Linked DNA regions of Styela clava. The protein of the gene in region 1 interacts with the protein of each later gene in a biochemical or structural test. Links are inferred from orthologs where the notes say so. Each region holds a gene or a part of one and is shown in the gene's direction. Other genes may lie near its edges. The genes, in order: protein XRP2-like and ADP-ribosylation factor-like protein 3.

Region 1 (16,674 bases):
ATCTTATGACTTTGGTGGAGATATAAAGAGGCGATAAATGTACGCAATAGTGGTAAAAGTCAAAATAGAAAATTTTAATTTCATTTTTGAAATTATAATTCCGGCTGCGTGTGCAACTGCCAGAATGCAACGTTTTGGCGTAGTTTCGCGGCGATGCAAGGGGTATTTCAATAAAAAATACAGAAAAATTTTGATTTAGAACAAGCCCTTGTTTTAAAACACGATGTTTTTTAGAATTGATAAAAAACAAAACCCTACAAATATATGCACACCTTACACAGAGCGAAGCAGTCCTTACCCTTGACGCTACCGCCACCCTCAAACAAATTCCGAGTTTCGCGTAGCGAAAATTTACAGAACTTAACTTTACTTAACAAATGCGAAAAGGCATAGTGTTACGTCACTTTTTCGCATCTTGCTGATTGGCTAATGTTACGAAATAAAAAAGTAAGGCGATTCTCGGAAAACGCCCCTTGGAAAAATATTTCGCCCTTTTCCGTGTTATTGCGGGCCAGATGAAAGGACACCGTAGTTTGGTGATCCCTGGTATAATTGAAAGTGTAATTGAGCCAAAATTTTAGCAAATTACAATTACATTTACAATTACACAGACTGAAAATGCCTTAATTACATTACAATTACATGAAAAACTGTAATTAATTACATCAATTACAAATTACAATTGATCCAACTCTGCTCTTGAATTAGGAATCCGAAACGTTTACCTGCATTTAAACATGCCACGGGTGTCATCTCGCTCACTCAATTCCTTTTCATAGAATTATCATTTAGTAATTATCAGACTGTAAAATAATATGTATTCTCATTTTGTTTATGTTGCTATGCCGATCTTAAAGCTGTGCCTGTGTAATACCTCAAGTACTTCTAGTGGGCGTGCACATGTCAATCCTAACCGACACCTTACTACGCCCACTAAAAAGTATGTCGCTACAAAGTCACAATTACGCCATAGAGCTTGATAAAGTATACCTACGATCGCCGGAAATGGCATCTGCGCCGACTAAGAAAGAACTCACCAACGGCGGTTATCTCTCTCATATCGGGATCGTTGCGACGAGAAAACAAAAGAAATAGCTTGCTCGATTTCGGGTGATTGTCTGCGCGTCTTGAATGGCAGTTCGTATAATTTGAAGGGCCTTGTTACGTCACTGTGACGTAATTTTTGGATGACGCAGTCAGGTGTGGGTTAGGATTGGCATATGCAAAAATTTTGCTGCGCACACTAGAAGTACTTGAGGTACGGAACTACACTAGATCCGATTATTTTTACTGAATTACAATAAGTCTGCTTCATTCATAGACTCCTAACATTAATCAGATATTTGAATGATACTTCAGCAAAAAATAATATGAGGGGTAATAGCTTGAAAATCCATTTTATATAAGACATAACTATTTTTGTATTTGTCACTCCTAACCCCCTACCAGACTATGTCGTTCAAATATTGTCACAATAATATAGAGCTTGCCAAAGTATAAGTTAGCTACGATCGACTGAATTGGTGTCTGCGCCGTCGATAACTAACTCTCGAATGCCAGCGACATCGCCATATAGTTTTGTTTTTTTATCAATTTAAAAAAAAACATCGTGTTTTCAAACAAGAGCTTGTTTTGAATCAATTTGAATACCCCTCGCATCGCCGCGACAAAACGTTGCATCCTGGCAGCTGCACACGCAGCCGGAAATATAATTTTGAAAATGTAAGTAAAAATTCTTATTTTGATATTTACTTCTATTGCGCACATTTATCGCCACGTTTTTATCTCCACCAAAGTCATAAGATTTTAACCGGAATGCTTATCCGAGATATCAGAGAAACGTTTTGAGCAAGAAAAATCATGAAACTTAGCTCACGAGCCTACTACAAAAGCAATTAGATCAAGGGCAGCCTTCGGCAAATCGAGTGGGTTGCGATAATGAAGAATACCGGTATGCTTACATCGGCGGCAATCTACTTATATAAACGATGAGAATCCCTGGCCTAGGCTATGCTAATTGTGAGAGTCCTCTGGTGCAAAGACGCCACAACTAGTTTGTTATGACGCCATAATATGGTTTTCGAGTTCATGTATTGGCATTTTTCTCATAAAATGAAGGTATTATTACGGTTCGGTCAATTTATGCTTAGCATACTTTGTTTTTAAGGTTGAGGTGATAGCGTGTTTCAAGGTTATACAAACTCATTTATTCGATCAAACTCATTTCAATTTTTGCAAAGTGGTTTCGTCGTAGCAGGGTCGAGTGAACTATAGCTTGAGAAGGTGTGTATGAACCTCCATCGATATTTGTAGCGTTTTGAAGATTTTATTGCAAATAAGAAGCGCTTGGCAAGTTTTTACATCCATCTTTCTTCAACCTATTTAATACAGAAAAATCAAACAGTACAGCCATTTTGAACAAAACAGGCAGAAAAAACTTGATTTAAAACAATTGTTTCAAAACAATTCTTTTTGAACAAATCGAATATACTTGGACAGCAGTATACCGATACTAAGTAATTTTATACCATACAATCAATGCTCACAATACAGTATGAATACACTCATACAATGACATTGGGTATTAATAAAAAGAGAAAACGGTTGTCCACCTTACCAGGAGGAAACACTCTATGAAATAGCAAACAAAATATCGGAAGGAGTGATAAATTGGAATGATTTTCCCCTAATGGAGGTTTATAATGTTATTGGAACAGACAAATACTACAACAATAACAACAGACGACTTTAGCAAATATAGTAAATAGATAACAAGCTGGATTTGCACTCGTCGTTCAGTACTTGGGTTCGATGTGTCACACTTCATATTTTACATCAACTAATGACGATGTGTCTGTCGGTCACTGTGCAGAGAATTTGAAGCGCTTTGCATGATATAAAAACCCGTCTGATTTATGATAATGCAATGCCTCCTTGGCATGAATCAAATACTATCCCGGAAAGTAGGACTATATTGATGAGAGCTGACAACATTTCATCAAATTAACATCATGACAATCGGTCGATTCAAATTGCGGAATTTAAGACAGCAATACGGAAAATGGCGTTATCAAGGACATGTAATAAGAAAATCACAATTTGCAACTTCTGATTTTACGAAAGCTTCAGTGTGTTGTTGTCGCTTATTGCCTCACTCTTATATGTACCCATGGACACTCACACCCTGTCATCTGAGACGATTACAACAATGGCATCAACTGTGCAATTTATTAACGAGATAAATAAACGATTGACCATGAAATATAGTTCACTACAATGGAGGCGTCACAACTCAAGACGATTTATTCAAAGAATGGTTCGACTATAAAAAATGAATTGCACGTGCATTGAACATGTAACATTATGCCAATAAGGAATTAATATGAGAAAGCTGTGACCTTCAAATGAAAGCTCTCCCAAAATAAATATAAAGAAATATCTATTGCTGTTAAACCAGGCGATGCCAGCAGCTGTCACATGCATCTATAACGTTCAAATATATCCTACAAATGCAACATTTGTTGTATTCTCAGTCATTATTACTAGTTTGCAAAAAAGTTATGTTGGTAATGGTAATCTTGCTTAATAGTTGGAGAAAGAAGCAATTTGTTTGCTAGAGATTCGCTCTAACGTTCAATGTCGACGAAAAAAGCTACCACATTCTAAATCCTCACTGTGGAAATGCTGTTGCAGTTATTTGCTTAGTTTAAGTAGATTTATGTTGTTAAGCAACTACCCCTTTCCTTTGTTTTCTATAGATTTCAATCACAAGTGATTTATTATGAATTTTAGGAAAATCTTTGGTGCATAAATATGGCTTGGACAAGTGAACATCGTGCGTGTATTTATTGCGGAATGTTTTCTCACTAAATAAAGAATATGTAACCGAAAAGGTTCTTGCTAATAAATTCCTGAAGACCAGTGTTGAAGCTCAATTTCATTTTGTCATTAAGCACACTTGATACTGGGCAGAAGGTAGCCCTAGAAAGATACGATAAACGCGAGCGAGTAACAGTGTGACGTGCAATTTTTCAAAATTTTGTTTCTTTTTTGATAGAAGGAAACTGCAATTTCGGTTACTTCTGCTCGATATGTGCAGATGCTGCATGATGTCAAAACTCAAAAGTCTTGGAGAAAATGCAACGATATGATTTCAACTATATGGACGAAGTGCACAAACGGCAATAAAAATCAACAGACATTTTGGAAAGACCTTTACAACGCATATGGTTTATTTGTATGGGGATATGGGAGGATCAGCACGTTTGCTTGACCTTTCACCGTGTGGTTATTTTCTATGACGTTATATTAAGAATGTTGTGTACTAGCAACGACCAAGACCATTGATGAACTGAGAGCTGCCATTTGCACGGGAAATTACATTGGAAAATATCTTTAGGATGTGCTTACAAATGACAAAAAATTATTGCAGCTGTATGGGGCCATCGGGAAGACGTTGTTTTAAAAATGTAGTTTACATAAAGTGGCAATCAAAAGCTTTCGTAAGAGTGTAATAAGAATGTAACAAAGACTCATCTATTTTAAAAGTATACTCGGGATCAGGGCTTCCCAAACTAGGGGCCGCAGCCCTGGAACGGGCCGCGAAACGAATTTTAGGGGCCGCAAAGAGATCACCAATTTTACACAAAGTATCATATCTATTGTACTTTTCCAGACTCTTGATTCGAAATACAATTATTAACAAATAATGTGAAACAAAAATTTTACGATTCCTAATGAACACATCATCATACTGTGTAAATAAGACAGTGTCTTCAATTTTATTTCGAAAATAACACTAGGGCTTATTTTCGGAATAGGTAGAGAATAACGAGATTTTTTATTATGCCAAATATGAATTAGGGCTGGGCATTTTCGAATACCTTGTGATTTCAGAATCGAATCGAATAATATTTTTCGAATCTTGAATACTTGAAAATATATAATTGTAAGCGATTTTATTATAGTAATTGGTCCTCTCAACAAATGAATTACCTAAGACATAGAATAAATCACCCAGATAGATTACTCAGATAGATTACCCAGATAGATAGCTCACACAGAATAACAAACACGTTTTATCGATAACTCACTACAGAAAATAGTCATATGTTGGAATTTCGTTGAAAAAATATGACTCCAATGAAAATACAATTGGGGAATTCCCCTCCACCATTAGCGGAAAGACAAAAACAAGATGGCGGCGATTCGAAATTTAGCTCTGAACCGATTCGAATAATTTACTATTCGATTCGATTCAAATATTCGATTCGAAATGCCCAGCCCTAATATGAATACGGATTTCCATTACTTATAAATAGCACGTCTTCATTTAAAATAACTGCTACATATAGATTATTAACCATTTAAAAAGTAGAAATTTCCTGAGTAGAACTTTCTTGCTATCGACTAGGACTTCATTGTATTGTGACGGCATGGTACTTATCTGGAATTATTCAAACTTATCATAAGACAGCGGTTTGTGTGACGCCAAATTATCACGAAAAAACTCATGGCGCACCTACACGAAAAATATGCTGCCTGATAATAAAACACAATTTTCAATTTTGTCATTGTTAATATTTACTTATCTTATCTCTGCCTGGTTTCATATGCCCTCCAAAAATATGCTCAAGTTACGACTACCCGTGAAAATACGTATTGATACCTTTCAATAAAAGACTTTTTTTTTGCAATGAGTTTCATATGAAGGAACAAACAAAACATAACGACAGTCAGTGAAATCATACTTAATTGGCCTTGGTAGAAAAGTCTGTTTCATATAAAAACGAAATCGCAAAGGGGATAGGAGTCCGCTACGCTTTTTGAACCAAGAAAAATAATCTTTATCTACAGAAAACCGAATTTTCAGAATTAAACTTTTTTATTGTAACACCATCACAGGTAAGATCGATATAATCTTCCCCTTTTTCTGTAAAAGTAGAAGATATGGGTTGTTTGAAAGGTTCACGAATCACGAAATTTTGCGACGTCCTAGCAAAATTGAAACGACGCACTTCCGCGGGATTAGGTCAAGAAAATTTGGGCTATCGACTAAGTCTTTTTTAAAAGGGAGCGCTTATATTAAAATAATTTCTAAAATTCAGGCTTGGTTTTCTTTTCGGGGAAACACAGTAGAATCACCGCGCTTGCACAACAATGTATATTCTGATCGAAAGACCCGATTTGCGTGTGCTTGCATAACAATGCCGGCTTTAATAATTGTTAAGCTAGCGGTTCCCGAAGGCGATTTGCTAAGTGAGCCTCAAAATTTATAACATATTTTATTTATTCTATATGTTTTATTGTTTCTCATTGTTGCAAATGATGTGTATACGAATCAAATTCATTTTGCTGTTCTATGATGTGTACGCTTTGTTACGTCGGGTATCCTAAATGCTGCAATTTCGTAGGCTGCAGTTTATTCATTTGCTGAACATGAGAGATTTGTTTAGCATCTTAGAGAAAAACCAGGCAGAGATAAGATAAGGACATATTAACGATGACAAAATTGAAAATTGTGTTTTATTATCAGGCAGCATATTTTTCGTGTAGGTGCGCCATGAGTTTTTTCCATGATAATTTGGCGTCACACAAACCGCTGTCTTATGCTAAGTTTGATCAATAGGAGTGAATAATTCCAGATAAGTACCATGCCGTCGGTGGCCAGACATTGTAATTCATCATTTAGGCCTGCATAAACAAACATTGAGCCAAGGCTGGACTTGCTATGCAGCAAAAAGTATTCGCACCCGTTACACTGAATAATTAAGTAACTTTAATCTGAATAAATATGTGCTTGTTTTTGTAATTGAGTAGGCCTACTAAAAGTTGAGATATAGCTGTGTCAATAAAACATCAAAAATGCATATTTCGAGCTGTTTAGCATTATTAGCGCGAACGAGGGCCGCGGTAAATCTCAATATATTAAAAGGGGCCGCGAGCTCAAAAGTTTGGGAAGCCTGGTCTGGCTTGAGAGTGGTCAACGGGGATGCGATTTCCTGATTATGAAAGTATACAGAATAATGTATATGCGGTCGCAAAAGTATATATATATATATGGCTAGCATTCATATGCTCACTTTTTTAATAATGTGTTTATGATTGTCCAGGCGATTACGACTTGAATTTGTTTATTATAAATAAAATTATCCAAAACCTGGTACCAATTCCAATAAAATGGAATAAGCTTTTTAAAGAGATATTGGGGGTGTTCCTTGTACGTTTGGTTAACTGGTCATTACATATTATAAAATGGTACATAAAGTCGATTGTATACAGCGGAAAAAAAGGGTTAAATAAATTTTTTCTCGAAAACAAATATAAGATTAGGAGGTAATCTAGTCCAATTAGGTATTGTTGTATTGAAGTAGCTTGAAAGTTGAACAACGTGAAAAGCGAACGATTGATAGTTCAAGAGCGATGCTATATTGTAATCAGGGTGAAGGGCGTTTCAAGTTTATATACAACTTAGAGAGTTAATATACCCATATAACATTTTAAAACGAATATTTTTTCAAGGCATATAAAATTTGCAGTACCGACTAATGCCAAATTGACGTTTTTTTCTGCGTTCCTTACATGGCCCAAAAAGTACCAACCATACATCTGCAGCAGCTAACGCACAGCATCTGAGTGCTATTGTCTGTTTCTTTAGAATGAATTTCTGAGTTCATTGGAACATCGTTTCCATTCTACAATATAGCAAAGAAAAGCATTATACTTTTGATGCGATCAGTCAAAAGGATCTCGAGCTAAAATGACCCTGTATCTAAATGTCTTACATTTGTGCAAGACAAATTGATCTGAATAATGGTGTCCGAAAACAAGTCTGGGATTTGTCGTTCGTATGACCATGTATCAGACATTCATTCATTATTTGAACTTTTTTTTGACAACTCGTAACATTTCATGTAGAGCCCCTGTCATCGATGATAGATTATATGTGAATGATCTTCATTAGCGAAAGTAATTCGAGAGATACCAATTAACGTCTTGCTATAATTTGAGCAGCATATTGTTACATGATTTCATCTTACATCTCATATTCAAAATCGTGGCTTTATCTGCAAATCTCCAGCAATGAAACACAACGCCAATGACAGGATAGGCTTTACATATTTATCCCGGGGGAGAGGAAAGCCGATAAGACGGCTTAATCATATGGCGAACCACGGCCTCTCGTCCGGTTACCAGGCCGGGTATGGGATTAGTTAGCCAGTTATTTGTTTTTTCGGAAGCATGGACTTGATGGTGGAGGAAGCCGTAACCGACCAGCGGTTACGTGAACCACCCTACGGTGGTGAGGAGTCCAGCAATTCTCTCGCACATGATCATCCCCGCATGGGATTCAAACCTGCAAACCCACGAAGGGTAATCAGAGATGCGGTGGCGAGCGTATTCCTAACGCTTAGCACGATGCACCACACCGCCGAGCCCTAGTATTTCATTCTTGTGACTTTGGCGCTTTCTTTCAAATATATAGTTGAACCTAGTTGAGTTATATCGCATTCTTCTTTCACTGAACGAATGCTTCAATAAAGAATTCGTTCAAATATTCAGCTACTATCCAAATATTCGTATCGCATTGTATCGGGGGGTGCTGTCTTATTTTGAATTGGGTAAACAAAAGTTTTCAGCTGATGGAATTTACAAAATTATGGCGTCCAAATTTCATCAAAAATTCATCGGCATACCCTTTGAAGTAGAACTTCGTAAATAAATCGTCAAATTACAACTCATGTAGAAAATGTTATCTTTGACCTAACCAACTATTTAAATATCAGGTGACTTTAGATAGGCGACCTGAAAAATAAATGACACATATGGCAGTTATTTCATAATAGTTTTGTTAGGTTTTTTGGTCTCGTTAAAAGATAAAAATAAGCCATTTTTAAATTTTTTCTATACTTTTAAAAGCGTTTCATAAGCGTCCAATATATCCAGATCTTGACTCATTACGCTGCGCCTCAAAAGTAGGCACAAATTAGACTACCAATATATAATGACAGTGATAAACGATTTCAAAACTGTCGGAGCAAATCAGATTACCGTTGTTATATTGGACAATATAGTCTGCTAACAAAAGATTACCTCCATGAAATATAGCCCCACTCACAAGAACTAATTTGTCATCGAACCTTGTATTGTAACCTTGAGTACGAAGTAGAGCTATGGGTTGTTTGCTAAATTCAGGTTGTTGTTGGTATTGTAATTGTTGTTGGGAAGTCCGTAACGAATTGACCAATCCATTACAAACTTTCAGTCCTTAGAGATGGAATATGCCTCTAAAAGGCTTCTACTGATATTATATTTTTCAAGTTTTCACGGACCCAATATTTCCCCAAATATTTTGGCGTTTCATTGTATATAATTAAAAAAAATACTCTTTTCATTGTGTAATGTTATACTCAATTGCCTCCGTTTTACCTGTCCGTCAAACTTTTCTGCAAACTCCGTGCTCGTACCGGTACCGTGCGATCGTGCACGTATATTTGATTATTGCTATGTTATATTATGTTATGCACAAATAAAAAAGAGCGAGTTAATGAATAAATCAATCAATGACGCATGTATAAAATATTCTCTGCATGAAATTTTATTTTCTTAGTATATTTTAGAATTACTTTAACAATTTTTATACGGTGTTTTTTACTTTATACACTCCGAATAACGCTGTGATATGTGTTACGGACTAAAGTTGTCCTTCCTAAAATAGTATAGACTTGGCAAAGCTGGGTTATTGGTTGGTTTCTTGCCTTGTTATATGGCCATATATTGTTATCTATGCTTATCCTATTTGTTATAATGGGACAAAAAACAGGTCACCTAATTTTAAGTTTCAACGTAAATCAGTTTTGCAACTTTCGCAATCACTTCGATTTGATATTTTGCTGTTGATTTGGCGAGAGGAATGTTCAGCGAATCTATTTTTATTCAATATTTTAGGCACTCTCGAATCAGGTATCCGGAACGTTCACCTGCATGGCTGACTAACCTTCTCTGGAAAGAAGGAGCTACTTTTATTTTAACTCAATGGTATTGTTAATTCGTGTTTCCCAATGATCTTGTGTATGCTTTTTGTATATCTTATGTTTTGTCATTACTTCACGAAAATATAAACTAACATTCAAACATAACACGGGTGCAAGTTTCGCTCAGCCAATTCCTTGTCATAGAATTATCATTTAGTAATTATCAGACCGTAAATTAATATGTGTTCTTGTTTTGTTTATGTTGCTATGCCGAGACAGAAGCTGTGACGCGGCTGAAAGTATTATCGACCGTTTGTCGACCGCTAGCCCTGTACCGGTAGTCTGCTTTTCCTTTCCGGCTCTTTGATTGTTTTAACATTCCTCGGTTCATTCTGAAAGCAGGAAATACCGTTGCAGAGTCATGGGGTGTTTATTCTCAAAGAAGAGCAATTCGCAGCCTGAAACGGAGGCACCAAAAAAAGAGTACAGTTGGGACAAGCGTACACAAATTAAAGTTGAGGACTTCGCGTTAGACGGGCTACAAGACAAAACTGTGGTTAGACTTCCAGGAAGCATTGATGGTCAACAATTTATAATTCAAAACTGCACAAATTGCAAAATATTTTTGTTGGATTATACTGCTACAGTCACAATTGACAAATGCATTGATTGTCAGATTGTGTTGGGGCCGATTAAAGGATCACTTTTTTTTAGGAACTGTAAAAATTGCAAGTAAGTATGATTTTCTTCATTGCATTTCTGAATTACATTCATTCTTAGACTCATAACCCAGATATTTGAATGATACTTCAACAAAAGATGAAATGTGGAGGTGATATCTTAAAAATCCAATTATATTTTGATACTCTAGTTGACAAGGCATAACTATTTTTGTATATGTCACTCCTAATCCCCACCTGACTATGCCATCCAAAATTGTCTCAATAACATCATAGAGCTTGCCAAAATATAAGTTAACTATGATCGCCTGAAATGACATCTGTGCAGACCAGATGATAACGAACTCACAAACCCCATTGATCTTATCGTATCTCATATCGGTATCGTTATGACGAGAAAACAAGAGGGTATAACTAGCTTGCGTGATTATGGGTTATCGTCAGTGCTTTTGGATTACCGTACGTTTATTTGGCGGGCCTTATACCTTATTACGTCACTGTGACATCATATTGGCATAATTTTTGGATGACATTGTCAGATGGGGGTTAGGAATAACATACGTAGAAATTATTTAGCTACCTATACCAGAAGTACTTGTGTTACTATACTATACCAGACCTGGTTCTTGTATAGCCTACTAAGACAGTAATATACTATACTATACCAGACCTGGTTCTTGTATAGCCTACTAAGACAGTAATATACCGGTAGTAAGTAATCTTCTACCATAAATTGCTCACAATTGAATTACTGATTTAAAAAGAGGAAACAGTGGTACTCCCGTAGAGTGTGTACCAGGTTAGGGTTCGGCCATAGTTTTATTCTGATTTTAGATCTATTACGAGTTCAGGAACTGTCTGTGTTAGTCAAGTGAATATACCCCATGTAAATTAGGTGAACAGAATTAGATACCTCCATATTGGTACACACACTTCTGTAGCGCCGAAACGGTTGTGTATAGATTAGTGTTGGGGGCCATTGGCTATGGGTTGACTGAAACTCGATAGGACTGAAATATGAGTGCCATTTAACAGTGAGGAGATAGAACATGGTCATACCAACAAGATTTTAATGAATAGGATATTGTTTCAGTTTACAAAATAAAAACACATCTGAAAAAAATCAAACAAAACATGACATTCAGATAAATGAAAATTGTGAATTTTGAGAGCAACAATCAGCGATGGTCTAAATTGCATATTGGTATGGTATATTCTGATACATGATTCATCAAATGTTATTCATATTTCTAACAGGTGCTTATGTGCTTGTCAACAGTTTCGTACAAGAGATTGCTCCAGGATGGATATATTTTTATTTTGCATGACACAACCTATTATCGAAGCATCCAACAGGATGAAGTTTGGGTGTTATCAACTATCCCACGCAGGATTGGAAAAACAATTTGCAGATGCTGGATTAGAAATCATGAACAACACTTGGAACAGTATATATGATTTCACTCCAAACCCAGAAGAAGGAGCCAATTGGAGTCTCATACCGGAAGAGACAAATATTGATCAGCTGTTGACTTTCACCACAGAGAGAATGGAAAATGAAGATGGCAATGATAGCCTGAACAAGAGTTGTTTACCTGAAGATATGACACTTTCTTCCAATTCAGAATGTAGTATTGTTCCAATGACATCAGGTGAACGTGGTAGTACATCTGCAGAATCATGTCTGGCTTTATTTTTTCACCATGACCGAGCAATTCAGACTTCAATGAGTGTTATTCGTCAGCTTCAGCAAAGTCAAATCACACTTGTCAGATCTAAACAGATTCCTATTCCTCAAGAAACTGCTTCAGATATGTTTGACAAATCAACACAATCAAAACTTCTAAAAGCCACGAATCAAGGCAATGTAATTGGGCTTGAATTCAATGGCCCGGATTGTTTAGAAAAGTGTCATGAAGCTACCAACTCCCTTGCTGAGGGGCTTCTTACATTTGTAACAGACTCAAATCATCATATTGAACGTTTTTTCACTTGCCTGGATATGCAAATGTAATTGACCTTAATACGCTTTGGCATTAAATCTTATTGTTCAATATCATCTGTTGCAAAATTCTTTAAATATACCTAATTGAGTGTCTGTCTTAAAGTTAAATGCAAAATCTGTCATAAAATTGATTTGTATATTTAAGATGGAATGCGAAATTTCATGACAATGTGGGGGACGCATTTAATTCTTGTACCTAGAACTGTTGAAATTATGTTTTTGTCGTGTATATTGTGCATGAAATGGTTTTGCCAACATCTCATAGGCTATACTAATTTAACTGCAGTGATTTATGGGTTTATTACACAAATTTCTTTTGTAATCATTGTTTTATGATTTGTTCAGACACATTTAAAAATGATTAAGACTTGCCAGCTTTTAGTTCATAATTATTATTCTTGTGTCAGATCAATTTATTTATGACACAAACATATGTGTCGATAGGATTAAATAGTGGCCTCATTTGCATATTTAGGTAATGCTCTTTAGCAGGTGATCAGTATTAATCAATAATTTTTGAAAATAGGTTTGCTGGCTGTTATGTTCATGATGTAACAATAGTAAACTAAAGTATTAATGTTTCAGTCAATTGTCAAACTGTGCAAAGTGTATCAATTATAATATGGGTTAATATTAATCATGCTTATTAATAGCATCACGGCACTTGTTTTAAGATATGTTACAGCTCAAATTTCAAGATATGTCACATTTTACCCTGTTTTTGTATAATGCAATATTATTGATAATTTGACATCCTCATACAAGCACTGTTGCTGAGAGATCTATCTTATCAATGTAACGAAACCTGTTAAATGACAGATGTGCTGCAAAAACAGAGCTTTCAGTTTTGATCTGCACTGCTACCATTCATATAATCTTGATATTTTAATTTTATACTGCACTGTTATTGTATTGTACTAAACAATTGTTTTGATACTGAACATATAAAACAACTAATTGTATGAAGTTGTGATTTTATTTATAGCCCCAATTGAATTTGGACCTGCATTCCCTTTTTTGTAAATATACATTGAGCCAAATCTTGGATCTTGATCCAAGACCTTCTAAAATATTACCCGATTCAATGGGGCTGCCGACAATCCCCCGCATCAGTTGCCAAAATTAAAACTACATATGTGTGATATCATCAGTGGTCATGACTTTATTGTAACTGAACTAGTTCTTGAAACAAAATGGTACCGGTACTCATGGAGTGTGTGTACCAGGTTAGGGTTGGGCCATAATTTCATTCTGATTTTTCCTATTTTCCAGTCCCTTTATACAACTTGATGTAAAGTAGGCAACAAAATTAAGTACCTCCATATTGCCATTGGTACACACACTACTTAAGCGCCAAAAAATAGTGTCTGTACCAATGTTATTAGGCTTTTTGCTGCTCCAGCATTTCAAATCAGATGATCTAATTGCCATGAACAGGACCATGATTCTACCGAATTCGACAGAAGCGTCCAATTTTCAGACCAGATTAACTTAATTGTCAGACCCTGGACTTCATGGTGTTGGCACGAGCGCCAACGTCAAGATGGTCAAAAATCACATGACAACAAAAGCCCAAATAACTTGGCGCGGCGATGTGGCTCAACGGGCTAAGCGTTAGGAATACGCTCGCCACCGCACCTCTAACTACTCTACGTGGGTTCGCAGGTTCGAATCCCATGCAGGGATGGTTATGTGCGAGAGGATTGCTGGACTCCTCGCCGTCGTTGGGTGGTTCACGTAACCGCTGGTCGGTTACGGCTTCCTCCACCACCAAGTCCATGCTTCCGAAAACAAACAATACAGTAAAACTAATCCCATACCGGTACCCGACTTGGAATGGTAACCGGACGAGAGGCCGTGGTTCGCCATATGGATAAGCCGTCTTATCGGCTTTCCTCTCTCCCGGGATAAATATGTAAATCCTATCCTAACTTTTGAATGCTGATGTATTGACATACCGTAAATCCTCGCTTTAACGCCCGATCTTGATTAATGTATCTTCAGCCTAAACGTTAACATTCCAATTCTTGGTTACGATGCAAATTTCTACATCGTGAGAATAATATTCAACTGCTAGAATATAGTTGTTTCTATTATAATAGAAAAAATCAGCACCAATTCGTGACCATGGTCTCGTTAGAAATTCTGTTCCTCTCATTGGTTTGATTCGATCTCGTCTATATTTCTCACAAAGCTTACAGTTTCTCACAACTTTTTTTACGAGACAGTCCTGGCCACCAAACAGAATTATTCGAATGTTCACGCGATATACTCACACCTTGATGTGCATCATGTAAATATCTCAATATGTCTGTTCGGAGTATTTCTGGAATCACGAGCCTGTTTCCCTTCATCAAAAGACCACCATGAATGCTGAAGTTTGCTCGCTCGTTCCCATAATTATTCACAGGACCGTATAATTGCTTATTGTTTCCCGGCCATCCAAATTTAACATTGTGCATCACCACAACTTTTATGATGTCGTCTTTTTTCGATTCACGTCTAATTTCATCCAATCTGGAGTTTGAAGCAGGTAAGTTAATCATTATGGATTGAACATAACAGTCCGTATCAGCTAACAACTGATCATCTTTGTCCAACTTTCGGATAGGTCCTCGGGACAACGCATCAGCAGTGTATAGCATTTTACCCGGAACGTGCACAATTGTAAAATCATATCTACTTGCATAAGCGACAGGTCTAAGCTCTCATGAAGATTACTTTTGAAGCATAACAGCTCCAAGTCCGTATCCGCTTGAGTCAGCAGATACAAAGGTTTCCAACTCTGGTTTCTACATTGCAAGTATTGGATCTGACGTTAGTTTTCCTTTACTTTCTCAAATGCTTTTTCCTGTATTGGGCCCCATTACAAAGCATTATTTTTCTTCATAAGGGCACGTAAAGGTTTTGTATGTTCTGACAAATCAGGAGTAAATTTTATCAACTGATTCGCAAAAATCGCCTGAGCGCTGAAACACCAGTAGGAGTGGGTAAACATTCAAGTTTCGTAGCATGGAACACGCACTTATCAATGTTTAGCGTCATACTCTCTTCTTGGAGTCGATCCAGAAGTTGTTTAGAATATTTATCATGCTTCACAGCGTCGGTACTCAAAATTATGTCATCCATGTGACAAGTCGTATTGAAAAATCCTTCCAAAATGTGGTTCATTCGTTTTTGGTACAATTCTGGGGCGGATGAAATCCCATAAGCAGTGTTCCCTCTAAGGTGTGCGCGTGTGCGCGCGCACACAGCTTTCAGAGGGTGCGCACACGCATAGATTTACTGCGCACAGACCTATTTCGATGTAATGTAACAATGTTCTCGGTTGGCAGGTTGAGAAAGTTTGTTGTTGGCTCACCCATTACCCGGTTAGAACGCCAAAATTTCTTCATTGATTTTTTCACAAATATTAGTCATTTCCAAAAAAGTGCGCACACACCAAAATTTCTGCGCACACATACTACAAAAAATTAGAGGGAACATTGCCCATAAGGTAGCCCCCGGAACAAGAATATCCCAAATGGTGTAATAAACGTTGTCAGTTTACGACTTTCTGGGTCAAGCTCGATTTGGTAAAATCCGGAATTCGCATCCAACTGAACCTTTCGCCATACTCTCCAAAGTGTGTTCTACAGTGGGCATTGTGTAAATTTCACGTTTTACCGCAGGGGTGGGCAACATACGGCCCGCGGGCCGCGTCCGGCCCGCGGCGAGATTTTGACCGGCCCGCTGACTGTATCCAACCACACTCTGTAATGTGGTCCGACGCATCATTCATGAAAGTTGCCGATCGTTCTACTCTCACCGCATTGTCAGTGCGAGCTGGTGAAATAAACAATTGCCTTGGTGCAGGGGTTCTCAAACTTTTGGTGTTGCGGAGCCCTTGAAAAGGTTGACTATTATTCACGGAGCCCCAAAATAAATGTTAAAATTGTTACTTTCAGATTAATATTCCTGAGCAAGTTGAAAGTACTTTACTTAATTTGAATGCTGAACCTTTTTTTATAGGGTT
Region 2 (16,643 bases), on another chromosome or scaffold:
CACAAAACGTGCAACTTGCCTCCAATGTGACTGGAGCAAAGATGGGATCGGATACGTTCTTCTTCAAAAATACTGTGATTGCTCGATCGATAAAGTTCCTATTTGCTGCAAAGATGGTTGGCATTTGGTTTATGCCAACTCCAGGTTCACCACGCCAACAGAAAGTCGATACTCACCCACTGAAGGAGAAGCATTAGCAGTATCCTGGGCCTTACAACACGCACGAATGTTTACCTTAGGTTGCCAAAACCTCATTGTGTCCACTGACCACAAACCCTTATTGGGAATCTTTAAAGATCGAGACCTGGATAGTATTAAAAATCCTCGAATACAAAACTTGAAAGAACACACCCTGCGATATAGATTCACAATGCAGCATTGCCCAGGGAAATGGCACAAAGCACCCGATGCTTTATCACGCAATCCCACAGCCTTGGAAATAACAGATACGAAAAATGCAGTGATGGACATAGCACGAAATGACCCATCATCTGATGAAGTAACAACAACAGAGCAGTGCGAAGCTCGTGTTCACGCAATTCAACAATCTGTCATCAACTCAATAAATGATGACGATGCGCTTGTGACCCTGGATCACATTAGAAGCCATGGAAAGTCTGACAAAAGCTACAACATACTCATCAAAACAATTGAGAATGGATTCCCTAACACAAGACATGGGACACCGCCTGAAATCCGGGATTATTGGGGTGTGAGAGATCGCCTATCAACTAAAGACAATGTAATACTAATGGACTCTCGCATAGTTATTCCCACTCCCCTTCGCAAGACCATACTGAGGTCACTACACTCTGCGCATCAAGGGATCACAGGCATGAAAGCAAGAGCAAACCAATCAGTCTATTGGCCGGGCATGAACGCCATGATCCGAAACTTTCGATTTGGATGCCTCACATGCACGAAATACGCTCCATCTCAAACTAAAGAGCCAATGATATCGAGCCCGGCGCCACAGTATCCCTTTCAACACATATGCGCCGACTACTTTGTACTAGGGAACCACTGCTACCTATCTGTTGTAGACAGATTCAGTGGTTGGATCAGTATTTTTCATTACCCACCACATCGATCAATCACTAAAGAGCTCATCAACTCATGTCGTGGGTTATTCACATCCTATGGAGCACCAGAAGAATTTGACTCAGACGGTGGACCTCAATTCACCTCATCCGAATTCCAGAACTTTTTAACTGATTGGGGAATAAAGCATCGAAAGTCCTCAGCATCTTACCCACAATCTAATGGACGGGCAGAGCTCGGAGTTAAAACTGCCAAGAGGATCATTCGTGATAGCACATCACCTGACGGTTCTCTGAATAATAATAAGGCAGCACAGGCAATCCTACAATACAGGAACACTCCTCTGCAAGACATTGATCTCAGCCCAGCTCAGATACTTCTGCATAGACAACTGCGGGATCACGTTCCTACAAATCCACAGCATTACCGTCCCCATCCACAATGGATTATATCTGCAGGGGAACGTGAGCAGAAACTAGCTAACCGCCATCACATCATTATCGACAAATATAACAACACATCGAGACAACTCCCTCCACTGTCAGTTGGGACAACAGTCGTTATACAATCACAAGTCCCAAACAAGCCACGACACTGGAACAGGACTGGTCGAATTGTAGAAATCCTACCTTACAGACAATACAAAATCAGAGTAGATGGCTCGGGAAGAGTGACTATACAAAACAGACGATTTATACGACCTTGCATCATCATTCAACCTCCGCCGATCATGCCATTCTCACCAACAATTCCCCCCAGCGGAGAGAGAGATGAAGACATTGGAAACTCTGGGAGTCATAATGCAGGAACTACTCAAGACACTCCGGTGGAAATACAACCAAGTCATCATGTGAGCCCATCGCTAACCAGCAGAGCTCCAAGATTGCCTAGGGCGCTTCAGAGGTTACAGCCCTACAACAAGCCAGGACGACTTGAGGAGAACTATAATGTTAACTGAACTGGACAAAACATTTCTTAATTTAAAAGACTCTGCGCCTCTGCCGGAGGGTGGAGATGAACATTACATTATATTTCATTGCATGTTTTAACTGTTTCGTTCTTGTTCTTTAGATTGTATTTTACTTAGATTGCTTAACTTGGTTGGCCTTGTACTATAGTTAATACTTCATGTGAATTGATTTAAATAATAATCATAACACAAAAAACTCATTAAACCGTTTATTGCGTGTGTTCTGATATTTTTAAAAACAATAATCGTTGTTTACAATGGATTGTTTCTGATATATGGAAGATTATAAATGAGGCTAATGTATGTACCGGTAATTCCAATGTAAATATCATTCTACTATATGAAATTTGACACATTGTCAGATTGTGGGAAAGCTGTATCTCGGCATAAGTTTTTATTTTTTATTTTTAACAAAGGGCATATTATGGTCGTCAAATGACTAGTTTTTCAAAAACAAGTAGTACGGACACAATCTGATCATATAACAGAAATCATATGACTTATTCATGACATGGTTCGCTTTCTCGTGTCTATACAGAGCTGCACATTATTAAACTGAAAAAAAGCACAATCTAAAAATGTCTCTATTGGAATAATCATAAAAAGTAATCCGATATACCAAAGGAAAATATTTCACTACAGCATTAGGGAGTAATGAGCAAAAAACAATTAGCAGAACGTGAACTTTTAATAAACAGAGGACATTACAGCATTATGACACCACGCCCAGACGATGCACCTTATTTAACTTGTATTTTACATATATCGAGATAATCGCAGAATCAGAGAAATGTGTCACATTGCTAGGGGAGAAGAAAATCGAAAATCATTTAATCCAGAGATTTCCAAACTCCCACAATTTCAAAAAAGAAAACTCACAAATTTTAACCTCATGTATGTCTGCTTGATGTTGGTTTACATAATATAAAAATAGCTCAAAAACTGCTAAAGTAAGACACAGACTTCAGGACTTTATGATAAAAAATAACCTGTTTTGCCCTTTAACAGTTTTTATGTTTCACTAAAGCACTAACTGCTTATGTCAGTTTGTGTTTTTCATATTCCAGTAATTACTGAATTACTGAATTAGCAACCCCCAGATATGTAGAAAAATACACAAATAACTGCAGAATGATGCTTATTCTTCACAATGTACGCCACATCTTTCTACCGTATCTATCAAACATAGCCTACCATATCGTTAAAAGATACCGATAGTATTTTAATGAAACAGACTGACAGAGCTGAACAGAGTCAGGTACCGGTAGTCTAAACACAAAATATCCTAGCTGGGTTAATGCAGTACTAGGAGGCGTTCTCCCAGTTTGTGGTTTGTGAGGGCTTTAACATGCCTCGTCCCATTCAAAACCTGATAACAGTCTAATAATTTATTCTATCTTATTTGTACAAAGTCGACATACTGACATACCGCGAGGCTATTTAAGTATTCGGCATACTGGCGTACCGTTACAAAGTTTCAACAAAACAGCTCAACTTTAGATATAATCGTTCGAAATTTTAGACTAAAAATTCCTTTTGTTTTTGTGCTACAGTAATAAAGAAATAATAGATAAGTCCTCCACTTGCTTACGTCACAAGTGAACACACCACGCTGCCCGATGGCCATTTCCCGAACGCACATAACAAAAGCAACGAACTCGGCGAAGATCGCCTTTTTCTATTCTCGGCGACTTAGCTGTTTATTTATTAATTATTATCCGCGACCTGCGGATATAGTATACCGGTACGGATGCTCAGGAATAAAGACGTACTCACGGCTTTAGAAATGTATGACAAGCACACAAAATGCGGTTAGTTCTGACAGTGTCAGTTATAATACGTGATTCTTAAATGCAGAATGGAGCGGAGGAACTTTGGTTTCCACTGCGAACTTGTTTTTCGACAGGTCACGTGACTTCATTAATGCTCTCAGCTGCGAAATCCTTTTACGTCGCCAGTGGGCGACGCGAAGCTTTGCTGTAGTTTTCCCCATCCCGGTTTAAGACGACGATCCACATTTTTTGTATTGTATCAATACTGCAATACTGTTTTAGTAATGAAAACTCATCAAGAAAAGATGAACATCTTACGGACAAAGATGTCGGAATCAAAACGAAGTCCTCATAAAATGAGGACCGGGTTATTGGAAATTTAATAAACGACTGATTGGATTTTATCCAGAGAATTGAATCAATATTTAAGGCATGGCAATTAAACTAAGTAACTTTGATAATGCTGAAGAAGGAGCTTTTTGGAACACATGTATATCCAAAATAAGAATATGGGCAACTCATTGTAGTAAAATAAAAAAAGAAACAGTTATCAATGGGAAGATTAATTACTAGTAAAATACAGAGAAAATACAGGGAAATGCAAGATAGAAAACGAAGAGACTCTTCAAACAATACGTGACACAGAATTAGAAATTATGAAGTATTAATTCAGTGATTTCCCTACACCCCCCCCCCCCCCCCCCCTATAGGGGGTGAACACCCCCCCTAAAATTTCAAACACCCCCCCTAATTTTGAGGTGCGATTCCACACTGAGGGGTTCTAAACCGCAGTCTGCGGGCCAATTACGGCCCGCGTGACGATTTAAAATGGCCCGCCGAACTTGAGTGAAATAGTTTAACCCTTCATGTGGTACCTTTTGAGTTTTAGATACCGTCTATTGTTACATCATTATCACAGTTTAAGCACGTTTATTTCGTAACAATTGAATTATTCCGGTATCTTATGTATACGTATGGGTATTAGGATTACACACTGCAGTATTTTAGATATCAGCCGTATTTTAAGAAAGCTTAAAGATGTCACAAAACGAAAACTAGGCACTGAAAACAGACTTTTTTTAGATGAATGACAGCGTTGTTTATTTCTTTATTGAAAAGAATCAAACTTCAGCGATTTGTCTTCTTACCAACAAAATATTTCGGTTCTGAAGGAATACAACATTATGATCAGTTGACGAGCTTATTCCAAAATTTAATTCATACAAAAGTCAAACAAACATGTTCAAAAAAATTAGAAATGTGTAACAAAACAAGCCATAACTAGCCATTCATACAATGCCAGATGAGCAAGTAACTTCATTAGTCACTATCAGTTGCAACTTGCAAATTACTTGTTGAAACGTAGTAATATATATTTACGGTTGAAAGCCGTGCTTGTTATCTATTCCCCGGGAATTCTATCAGCTAAATATTATATTTATTGATTTCATTACATAACAAACTGCGATGTTAGGTGTATCTAAAATCAAGCTTAGAGCCTATTTTGGTGCCTATTTCTCAAAATTTTCTCAGGGCGCTTGAGCGTGTCGTCCCGCACTTTTCCTCGCTCCCTTTTTCTGGCCCTACAATTACATTCTGCTGTGGATTTTTGCTCGCGTCAATCAACTTGGGGGGCCCCCATGTAGCCTACATCGTTTCTTAAATACATACCATTTTTTTAAGAATACAAATAGCCTAGTTTTATATCTAACAGCAAATTATTTACCACCCCCTAAATTTTTAAACACCCCCCCTAAAAAGAAAAGCTGGGGAACATACTGAGTATTATAAACATAAATCGAAGGGGCAATAATTAGGGCAAGAGTTAAATGTTGAATATTTGTTAAATTTAGAGAAGTCCAAAGGTATAAAGCAAAAATTTTCAAGAAAGCCTGACAATACTTTAGTTTACACATGTGATGGATTTCAGGAAAAGCAAGTAAAATTTTATAAAAAGCTTTATCAGAGTGATGAAAATTCGAACATTTATTGTCAAAATCTTTTGTTAAATAATTCAAATCAGCAAAAAGTGTCAAACGAGCAAAAACAAGAACTGCTAAGCGAATTAACAGAAGAAGAATTAGAATAAGCTTTCAAACAAATGAAGTCAAATAAATCCCTTGGTCTGGATGGTCTAACAAAAGTTTGGAAACAATTTCGCCCAATACTTGTGCTAATTTATAATAGTTATCTTAAACAATCGTGGCTGTCTCAGAACACAAGTCTTGGTTTAATAACTTTAATATATAAAAAAGGATATAAAAATAAAATGAAAAATGGACACTTATTACGCTACTTAATTTCGAATATAAATTAAATAAATTAAAATAATATAATAATAATAAATCTCAAAATATTAAAAAAAAACTTGAAATTTGGCAATTATTTGATTAGATGGGTAACGCCAATGCAAAAATAATAACAAATGGATATTTATCGAAATAATTCAGTATACCACGAGTTAGACAAGGTTGTCCCCTTGCCCCACCTTTATATATAAATAACGTCCGAATTGTTAGCATCCAACATTCGATGCAATTATAGGTTTTCGAAATCGTACAGGTACTAGGGTAAAATATAAAGGTTTTGCGGATGACACTATTGTCACATTAAAAAGTTTATCCTCTATAGACGAGATATTAAAATAGAAAGCTACAGGCTCAAGAATAAATATTCCAAAATGCAACATAACGTTGTGCGGATCAGCAAAACGGCTAAACATAGGGCCATCATACAGGGGTATTCAAATTGAGAATGAGCTGAATATTTTAGGAGACTTTGTAGGAAACAGTATTGTATCGCGGGATAAAAACTGGTTGAAAATCATTAACTCTATTCAAATTGTAGTAAATTTGTGGCAGGGGCGAAATTCATTGATGATAGTAAAAATTATTATTGTCGAATCATCAATGTTGTCTTAGGTGTGGCACATTGCCAATTAGGAAATTATGCCAGAAAACTTCATTCAAAAATCAAATATGAACTCCCAAATAAGTACAAAATTCTAAGTTGGAAAATTTTGCCTATTCTACCCACAGGAGACAAATTAAAATATTGGTTCGATGATGAAAATGGAAAATGTGTATATATATATTTTGTAATGAAAATGAAGAAACCTGCATGCATTTCTTTTGGTATTTTGATTGGATATTAGACTTTTGGCAGTGGTGCAATATAAGGGAAATCAATTGTGAGGTAATTATTTCTAATAATATTCATAGTGAAGAGGAATCAATCATTCAATGTGGAAAATCGGCCATATGGGAATTGAGGAATAGTGTCAAATATGATGATGTATTCCAAATGCAATGTAACTTAAAGGCTATTTTTAAATGTAAACTCCTAGGTGTAATTAGATTAATGATTAATTTCGGCGGTCCCTGTTGAACCACCTTCATTCATTCGTGCATGCCGTGCCTCGAATCAACGCGATATCGCGTAATTAATTTCGTCCGGGATTGCCAAGAATGACGGTGATAAGACCTGATAATTGGAGAAGAAGTGCACCCATAAATCGTTTTGTTAATATGTTGTTGGACAAAGTCGTTTTATTATTTTGTTGTTCTCGTTTTTTATGTTAGAATTTTCCTTCTTATAGTTGTGAAAAAATCGCATTTCCCTTTAATTAGGCTACAGGACCCTGGACCGATTGCTTTGAAATTTTCAGTGGTAAAGATTGTATTTTTTGCTAGAAGGCTATTACTTTTATCTATTTTAAATATTTCTGTGAGCTACATGGGATTAGTTTTTTGTATGACGTCATCAAAATTTGCGCATATTGTGGCGGTGCCACGAACGCATATCTATATATAATTCACTTTCCTATGAATTGCTTTCGACATCCTCATTCTCGAAAATCAACTTTTCCCTTATGTCTATACGTATACTGTGGTTTTTGCAGTCGACACAAAACAAAAATTCTGTGCAATTTTGGTTATTTTTGACACATATGCATAAATTATTTTGACACCTATATTTCTTACACTTGCAGTTTGCCAACTCCATAACTGATTTGGATCCATCAAGTTAATCCGCAAAACACCATCATCAAAACCCCATTCATGGCCAATAGGTGGGGGAATAATTGGCTTCGGTTCTAGACAACAGTAATTTGCCCTCAGAACATGCTTCTGTAGTGAATCATTGTTGGGTGTGAGAGTATAATCCATATGTTTGCCGGTTTTGGAAAGGCGTGCCCTTGTATCATTTACATTTTTTATATCCTCTTTATACAGTGATAGAACAAATTCTTCAGTTTTATTTATAGATGCCCCGTTAAACTCAAAAGATCTTCATAGTTGAGAAAAAAGCTTAATGAGTTTCAAGTCTTCCAACATCAGTGCGATGGGAAGTTTCAAGTTTAGAAGAATGCCAAAGAATTTCAATATGAATAGCCATCTAAGCTGTTTGCAACTGTTATGATTTTCATATACCTTTTTCGATCCATTTTATTCTTACAGGTATAGCGCTGATCGCAGCAGCGACGATAGCCTGCGTTAGGTTGGATTGGTAGAACATTGGTGGCGTTTTCTTTGTAGTGCAGTATCTGAAATGACGAATAAAATCATATTTGACACAACATAAAAATACCATTAAATACTTCTTATACTGCACATGGAATTTCATCTGATGTACTACAGTCCTGCAGTGTTTTCATGCTAGACTATATCTACACTGATCTAGATGAATCGCACAGTTTGAAATGTCTTGTATTTTTTAAAACATCAACTGTCAGCCTACAACTTGATACATTATTTCTCACCTCTCAATCGCTTAATATCTTCAAGACGGCCTAACATCAGTAAAATTGGTTATTTTCTTTCTTCCTCGCAAACGTGCATTACAAAAACGGTCATTATTTTCCGAAGCAAATATGCTGTAGTAGCCTATATAGTAGTATAAGTCTGCTGAATATTCAAGAATCGTCATTAAATTAATCATGTACCTTTCATACAATCATAAAAATACCGTATCGTTGTTTGTGGCATATCTTTCAAGGTATAGTATAACCTTTCGCCGCACAGTACTTATTTAAAAACGTTATATGAGCTAGTGATGAACTAAAATTGCTATTAGGATCTAAGGGTGTTTAATAACTTACTCATAGTTTTTAATAGCGTCTTAGCATAACTTAACTAATACCTAAAAGCCGCCATCGGCTGATCAAATTTTAATTGTTCCGTCATGCAGAAGTCACCGATCATTGGCCAATGTTGCCCAGAGAATATAGGACAGATGGTAGCACCATTGAGGTGTATATAACCCATTGAGGTGTATATATACACCTCAATGATATAACCCAAGGGGTAGCACATATTTCTTTCAGTAAAGGCGTCTTTTTTGTAAAACGTGCAACTTTTGGAAATGGGAACAAGATATTATTTGTTACTAAATTTCTAAGGAACATTTTGATATTATTTCCAAGTAGTCCTCCTATGTGCGCTACGAAACTGAAAGATAAACGGCTTCGTCTCGCGGCCTAAGGCGAACGATCATTTCAGCACTGTGAAATAAGCGACATGGCGGCGAATAGTAATCTTAGCATAAAGCTATCGAGCAAACAGAATTTATTGAAATACAGTATTGTGTCCGACGTGTACTAATTTAATAAGTTGTGTATTTTATAGCATTGTTAGTTATGTGATTAATACATAATATACTTTTGCAAAAATTATCTTGACATGCGCTTCTGGAGGTTCCCGACTCCCCACAATGATATGGCAATACTGTAAATGTAATATATAGGTTTCTAATTTTTTAACCTCAGTTTTTATATGTAATTTTAAAACGAAATAATAACCAGTAATAACTGTATTTTACAACACCTCGAGAGATTTAATCTTTGATTGATAGAATTTAAAATTAATCTATCGCATAATCCGGCACACCACCACAATAATCGATCACGTGATGCTATTGGTCAGCTGTGCGTGACAAATCAGATGGTTTGTTTATTTGTTTTCTAGCTTTCTGTCGCTAACAACGCCATTTTTTGAAGTATAGCAGGTGTTTAGGACTTCTACTGAATTAGAACGGCGTTTTTCTTATGGGATCGAGCTTTTTTGATTATATACTTCAACTATAGCTTTATTTCATGTTTATTCTGCAGATCTGATATATTTACATTCACTAATATTCAACATAACCAGTATTCAAGGAAAAGACAGAAACAGAAAAAGGGTCCGTACCGCTGTGGCTGACGTTCTTCTTGGAATAGATTGGAAACGAAATTGATAAATTGTGACTGAGACGAGAATTTTGTTCATTACTTCTTAATCTTCGACAGAAATTTTGGACTGCAAATTGAAGATTAATTTACAATTTTTCTGCATGATTTTTGACAACAATTTCTAAACTTTTGTGATACTGTAGAAGATCTTGGAATACAATGGTGAGACATTAGAGCGTTATCGCTTTTACAAGTTATATATTTTACTATTTATTTAATTTACTATGTATCCATATTTTGCTACAACTTTCAGGGGTTATTGAGTTATTTGAGGAAACTTAAATCTGACAGTGTCAAAGAGATGCGGATACTTTTGCTTGGTCTTGATAATGCCGGTAAAACAACAATTTTGAAGAGTCTAGCTTCAGAAGATGTCACACACATTACCCCCACACAGGTATTAAATTTTATTGGTAATATCACAGCGGATAGGCACCTTTCTTCTTAGTTTATCTAATAGTAGGCTACGTAGTAATAATGATTCTAATAAATTCCCGAACACAAGACTGAGTTTTGATTTACTGTAGCCTTGTTTGAAAATAATAATTCACAAATTCATGTGGACCTATAAGACATTTGGCCATAGATGGGCTGAATAAATATCCATGGAAAAATACACACATATTTACATACTCAACCGGTCTAATTTTACCTAGCTGTCAGGAAAGCTTTTAAACCTATCTGTCTAAAGAGTACTATTATATGGGTTAACCAGTTGTGATGAATTTAATAATCATTTTAATGAAGACAGTAGATATTTATTTGTTGGTACTAGATGCACTTAATAATGTACCATAATATACAGATATATCCTCGCCTAAAATATATGAACCAAGTGAGTTATGTTATAAAAAACTTTTGCAGGGTTTCAACATAAAAAGTGTTCAAACAAAAGGATTCAAATTGAATGTGTGGGATATTGGTGGTCAAAGGAAAATCAGACCATATTGGAGAAATTATTTCGAAAACACGGATGTGCTGATTTATGTTGTGGATAGTGCTGATAGAACTCGATTAGAGGAAACAAATTTAGTGAGTAATATATTTTGTAGCAATAGGACTTCTACAATCTTAACTGATCTATGGATACATGTAGCATTTTATCAACTATTAGTGATGCAAAACCAAATTTTTGAAGATTTTTCTTAGGGTCCCTTTATTTATTAAAATATGGAGATGTTGTTCCACCATCAGTTTGAGGTGTTCATCTTTATAGCCAAAATTGTAACAAAATTTTAGACTTTGTTTAATACATCCCTTAGGAAATTGATTAAAAATGGCTTAGGCTTTTCCAGCATATGAGTTATCAAATGGCTATATACAGTGGTGGAATTCAATTCAATTTTTTTGTCAGCCGGTTCTTTTCACCCGGTTCTGTTACAAAATGTTCGCTGATCTCGTAAAATTAGCGAACCGGCTGAATACAAAAAAACGATTTTGACATTTAGGAATTAATTTTGTAACATTTTCAATACCCTAAGGAATTGGAGGAGTTATTCAATGAAGATAAGTTGTTGGGAGTTCCAGTTCTTGTCTATGCCAACAAGCAGGACTTATTACACTCAGCCAAGGCGTCAGAAGTAGCAGAGGGACTCGGACTGGCTAAATTACGAGATAGAAATTGGAATATACAAGGATGTTCAGCATTAAGCGGAGAAGGTCTTCAGGTACGACAAAATAGACATTGTGTTTGCCGAACTGTGACAGTGCTATGAATTATTTGTTACCTTATATATTATTTATTCATTGATACGCAAACTGACACAGCATAAGTAAATTGAGATGGAGCAATAAATATTAAGTTTCAACAACTACAGTAACCATTGATTGCAACCATGCCAGATGGTGTGTGGGCCTTGGGAAAGTTATTCTCTACTTAACAACATATTAGTATTCAAGTGATTGGTTGTAGGTGGCTTCCACTAGTTTCTCTTTGCCTATATTGAAACTCCAATATGAGAATTTAAGCATAACTCGCACTCTGGCTTTTGTATCGTCCAAACGTGTGCATGAATACTACACCAGAATACAAAGTAAGATTTCATCCCTAGCGTCGCACGAGTGAATATATTTTTTCTTAACTTATTCTCATAGGATGGCATGGAATGGGTGATGAAGAATGTTACTAAACACAAGAAAAAGTGAACAACCTTGTGCTTTTTGTTTAATTGTAAAATGGGACTTCAGGTTCAATCCAGCCAGTGGCATCCCTAGTTCTCCACCATCACTGCGTTTTGTAAAATCTGTACATCGTTTGTGCTCATTGTGCATATATATCTTGGTTCTTTATCAGACCGAATATTTCTAAGTATTTGCTAGTTTATAGCAACAAACCTCCTTTCTGTACGTCTTGCTTTTTAAATTTATCGACATAACCTGCCTAAAAGTGTATATGGTGCTTTCAATGGTACATTAGGAAATGACATAATTGTATTTATATTTGCAAGCTGTAAAAAAATGCTGATATTTATTAAATTCAATATTATTTGTAGAATTCTGCCATTCTTTTGTTTCTTCATCTGTGCATAGTCTCTGCGGTGGAATAGTCAGTTTTGCTTACTTAGGTACACGTCTCAGCTCATGAGCCAGCCATGTCGTGAATGATAGGAGAGTAAGAGACCCTGATTGATGCATGGCCGCTGTAGATGTTGGAACATAAGTCAGCAAAGTTGTTACTCCCAACAGTACCTAGAGATATGTTAGAAAACTGTAACCAGATCTTCATTACTGAACAAGGCGCACCAGCACTAATTGCTGAAGGCAAGAGGCAAGCACCTCTGTTTACCTTAAGTGTGCGGGGATATGGACCATTTAGTGATATAACTACCCGCATAAATTTCTCCAAAATCAAATAAGCGGCCATCTACCCGCATAAATTTCTCCAAAATCAAATAAGCGGCCATAATTTGCAGTTTTACACACTTTGCTCTTTCCAAGGATAAACAAATTTTTTTAGGCAATTCCACATTATAATGATTTATAGTCTCGGCAGCTCTTTGGCACTCTAGTAGCCACCCATAACATCTCTTGGAGACGAATCACTGAGTGGGGGCACTTCACCTTGATTTGGGGAAATTTCCTCATGAAAAATTATTATACAATTTATAAGATTTAATTTAACAACAACTCACCTGAATAAAAGCCATTCCCAGCATAAAATTAGATGCAAGTATGGCGCGTGAATGGACACCTGAAGATCTTCGTACCATATACCACATACTCATGACTGATGCTAAACTAAGATGACCCTGCAAGATAAAATAATACCGGTGAAACTGTATCGAGGAGTCCAACAATCCCATCCCAGGGGTAGGCAATTACTTTTTTGAGTGGGCCTATTACATTCATATAAAAGACTTGGTTACTGCGACGGAGGGCTAGAACTCGATATGAAAAACTATGAATAAAAAACAGTTTATTTACAACAGCTGGGCTAATGGTTATATAATAATAAGAAGCACTAAGTAACAATTCGGGTCATTATGACATTATTTTTATCGACATATTCAACAGAAATTCAACAGACACAAATGGGCCAGATGAAACACCTCAGTGGGCCATTTCCACGGATAGTAATATGCCCACTCCTGCCTTATCCCCATAGGATGCAAAGCTGCACAGGTATCGGTGGTGCAGTGGCAAGCATGTTCTCAAAAAATCCATAACTGAATTAGTTTTGAATGAAATGGACTTACTAATATTCTATGATCGAACTGCACAGTGGTAGGATTTTCAAATATATTAAGCCATTTCGGGGTGAACGCTGTTAGGTCACTTGGTATCCACCTGTCTGCCATCTTGGGATATGAATTATATACAAGTCCTGCATCTAGACCAGCCACAAATGCACCTGGAGAACAAAACATGTGTTCAGAAGAAATCAAACAATAATCGAAGATATCTAGTGTATCCCAATCAGGCAGCTATCAAACATCGATATGCAAGCAAAAGGGTACTCCCGTCATGTGTGTACCGAGACAGGCCATAATTTTTTTCTGAATTTCCTTATTTCAGTTCTATTATGAGTTTGGGGACTGTCTGTGTTAGGCAAGTGAATATACCCCTTGCCCATAGGCTTCAGTCCCACAACTTGATGTAAAGTAGGCAAATAAAATTAGTTACCTCCATACTCGTACACACACTTCTGGAGATGCTATTGGCCTCAACTTCAATAATAAAAAAAACTTCAAAAACTAAAAATTCCAACCTGATAGAGCAGTAACAAAAACAAGGCTCATTAAGCCATATGCATGATATCGAAGCACCAATTTTCGCGTTGTTGATAAATTTAAAGACTTTTTGGAAAGTAATTGCGTTAATGACATCCATAGCATCCCAGTATAAAGTAGAAATGCTGAACCCAAGTGTGTAGCGAGTCTGTACTGGCTGACCCTCGGTACATCTGAATCTGCAAACCTCTCTTCGAGTCCACTCTTAACCATGAACCAACCGATAAGTCCCTTGAAAAAGAGAAAATCTAGTTAAGGACCGACAAACACTTAATTTAGAGTCAGAGTGGAGTGGAGCTGGAGTCTTATTTTCAAATTTTGCGAAAATGAAGTCGGAACTGCAAGCTTTCATTGGGTATAAAGGACGCAAATTTTCTACAGAAATTAAAGAAGATATAAAGTTTACTTAGATATAAAGTGTTCTTAAATGTCTATTAAAGAAGGTTAGCGAAAGTTTTGTTATAAATATTTGATTTTCCCTGAGCAAGGGTCAGAGTGAAATTTTTTACGATATGGAGATATTTTGAAGCCAATTGTAAATGAACAGAAGATCTGGTAAAGTACTGGAAGCTGAACCAAAATTTTTGAAATCTGGTGACGCAGCTATGGTCAGACTTGTTCCAAGCAAACCAATGTGTGTCGAAGCGTTCAAGAATTATGCTCCGCTTGGTCGTTTCGCCGTCCGCGACATGCGACAGACTGTTGCTGTTGGAGTCATCAAGGAAACTACCAAAAAGACCGGGAATGTGAAAAAAACCAAGGCAGCAGCGAAGGTCAATAAAAAAGCAGGAGCCAAGAAGTGACTGGAAGCATCTGGCCCCCCATCAATTGTTTTTCAATTGTAAATTTTCCTAATTTCAGAGACCTGGTTCCAGATTCCCTTCTAAAAAATACTACCTGTGAAACAAGAAGAGTTCCCAGTAATCCTGACTTGATTTTCATTCCTCGATTTAACCAACCTTTCTTCCAGAAGTAAGCAAGTGGTAGAAGATAGACGACACCAATTAATCTTCCCCACATTCTATGACTGTATTCCATGTACCAGATAAATTTAAATTCTTTCAATGTCATATCATGATTCAATCTGAAAATGTAAAAACTTGATTTTTAATATTAAACTAACCTAATGTTAGTCAAGTGAGGAATGTTTGGTTGGGTATCTCACAGGCTGAGAGCAAGTCATTTCTAGCCTCAGGTCAGCTTAATCATTGTTGGGTAGAAATCCTTAAAACCGAGTCACAAGTCAAGTCACAGGTCTTTCGAATCGCAGTCGTGGTTAGTTAAGTAATTTTATTTAGAGTACTCGAATCTCTTCAAGTATTTGATAACCAGAGTTAACCATTAATGAAGTGATCTAGGATTTTAGTGTTACTTCGCTTCATCTTGATTATTAATATTCGATTTTTAAACAGACACAACTTTATAACTTGACTTATATTTTTAGTATTTTTCCTAAATTTTTCCTATTTTGAATTCATTGCATTTTCATTTTATTCACAGTATTTATATTTTATCAGAATATTTATCAAACACTTACATTCGGAACTCAGGAAATTGTTTATATTTGTTGAACTCATTCTCCCAATCCTCTTGTGAAGTTGGTGGTTTCATACCTTTGATAAGATGCCAATCAACCATAGATAACCCAGATTCTGTTAGTCGAGTCACACCACCCAAAACGACAGCACCAACCACCTACCCTGACAAAAAGAAAAATAAATCAGTGGCAATCACCAGGAACATTTTTGAATTGATATCTATAAAAACACAGACATATTATACAGTCAGAATACAGACCTTCAAGATCATAAATTATATATCAAAGGACAAATTTTTGGCCACCTTGGGCCATTTTACTGTCCTCCATAGTCAGAAAAGTTATTCAGTTGCGCAGCATTTTATAACAATCTAAACTTAATATTTTTCCTATTCATACATTGCTTGTCTACAACATTTTTTTTTCAAGACTCCCAATTTGTCGAATTCCCTTCGGTTAACAGTATTGTATTGCATGATGATATGTTATAAAAATACCATCTCATCATGAGTGACTCACTCACTCTTCTGTCAATAATCTTCCCATTTATAATTGAGGACTCATGACAGTGTTTTTATGCAAATTCACATATAAACTCATCAATTAACTCAAGTTAAGGCATACTATCTACCCATTCTGAAATGAGTACGAAATGATTTGAATCATAAGACTGTCATGTCAGCCTTTCTTTACTAACTGAGAAATGTAAGAAATAAACAAACCAGGCCACAACATCCAGCAAGCCACCATCCGATTATTTTTTGACCAGGCTGATGAATTGGGAGTTGTTTTGCAATATCTGCAGACTTACGCAAAGGTGAAACCCATTTGAATACAGCCGATCGCTGAAAAAAAAGTTTATGAA

The links.
Region 2: the proteins of protein XRP2-like (region 1) and ADP-ribosylation factor-like protein 3 form a complex in vitro, tested with the Homo sapiens proteins (2 studies listed by BioGRID). The link is inferred for Styela clava from reciprocal best matches to the Homo sapiens genes RP2 and ARL3.

Annotation. Positions count from the first base shown.
Region 1 is NC_135256.1:21,844,330-21,861,003, forward strand, and holds protein XRP2-like, read left to right. Parts: upstream 1-10,044; 5' UTR 10,045-10,395; coding exon 10,396-10,706; intron 10,707-11,911; coding exon 11,912-12,668; 3' UTR 12,669-13,621; downstream 13,622-16,674. UniProt on the Homo sapiens protein: Acts as a GTPase-activating protein (GAP) involved in trafficking between the Golgi and the ciliary membrane.
Region 2 is NC_135258.1:8,469,787-8,486,429, forward strand, and holds ADP-ribosylation factor-like protein 3, read left to right. Parts: upstream 1-9,889; 5' UTR 9,890-10,171; coding exon 10,172-10,174; intron 10,175-10,265; coding exon 10,266-10,409; intron 10,410-10,876; coding exon 10,877-11,044; intron 11,045-11,493; coding exon 11,494-11,679; intron 11,680-12,106; coding exon 12,107-12,157; 3' UTR 12,158-12,514; downstream 12,515-16,643. Other genes in the region: heme A synthase COX15-like, read right to left, coding at 12,569-12,700, 13,144-13,260, 13,708-13,862, 14,220-14,472, 15,139-15,325, 15,779-15,936, 16,501-16,623. UniProt on the Homo sapiens protein: Small GTP-binding protein which cycles between an inactive GDP-bound and an active GTP-bound form, and the rate of cycling is regulated by guanine nucleotide exchange factors (GEF) and GTPase-activating proteins (GAP).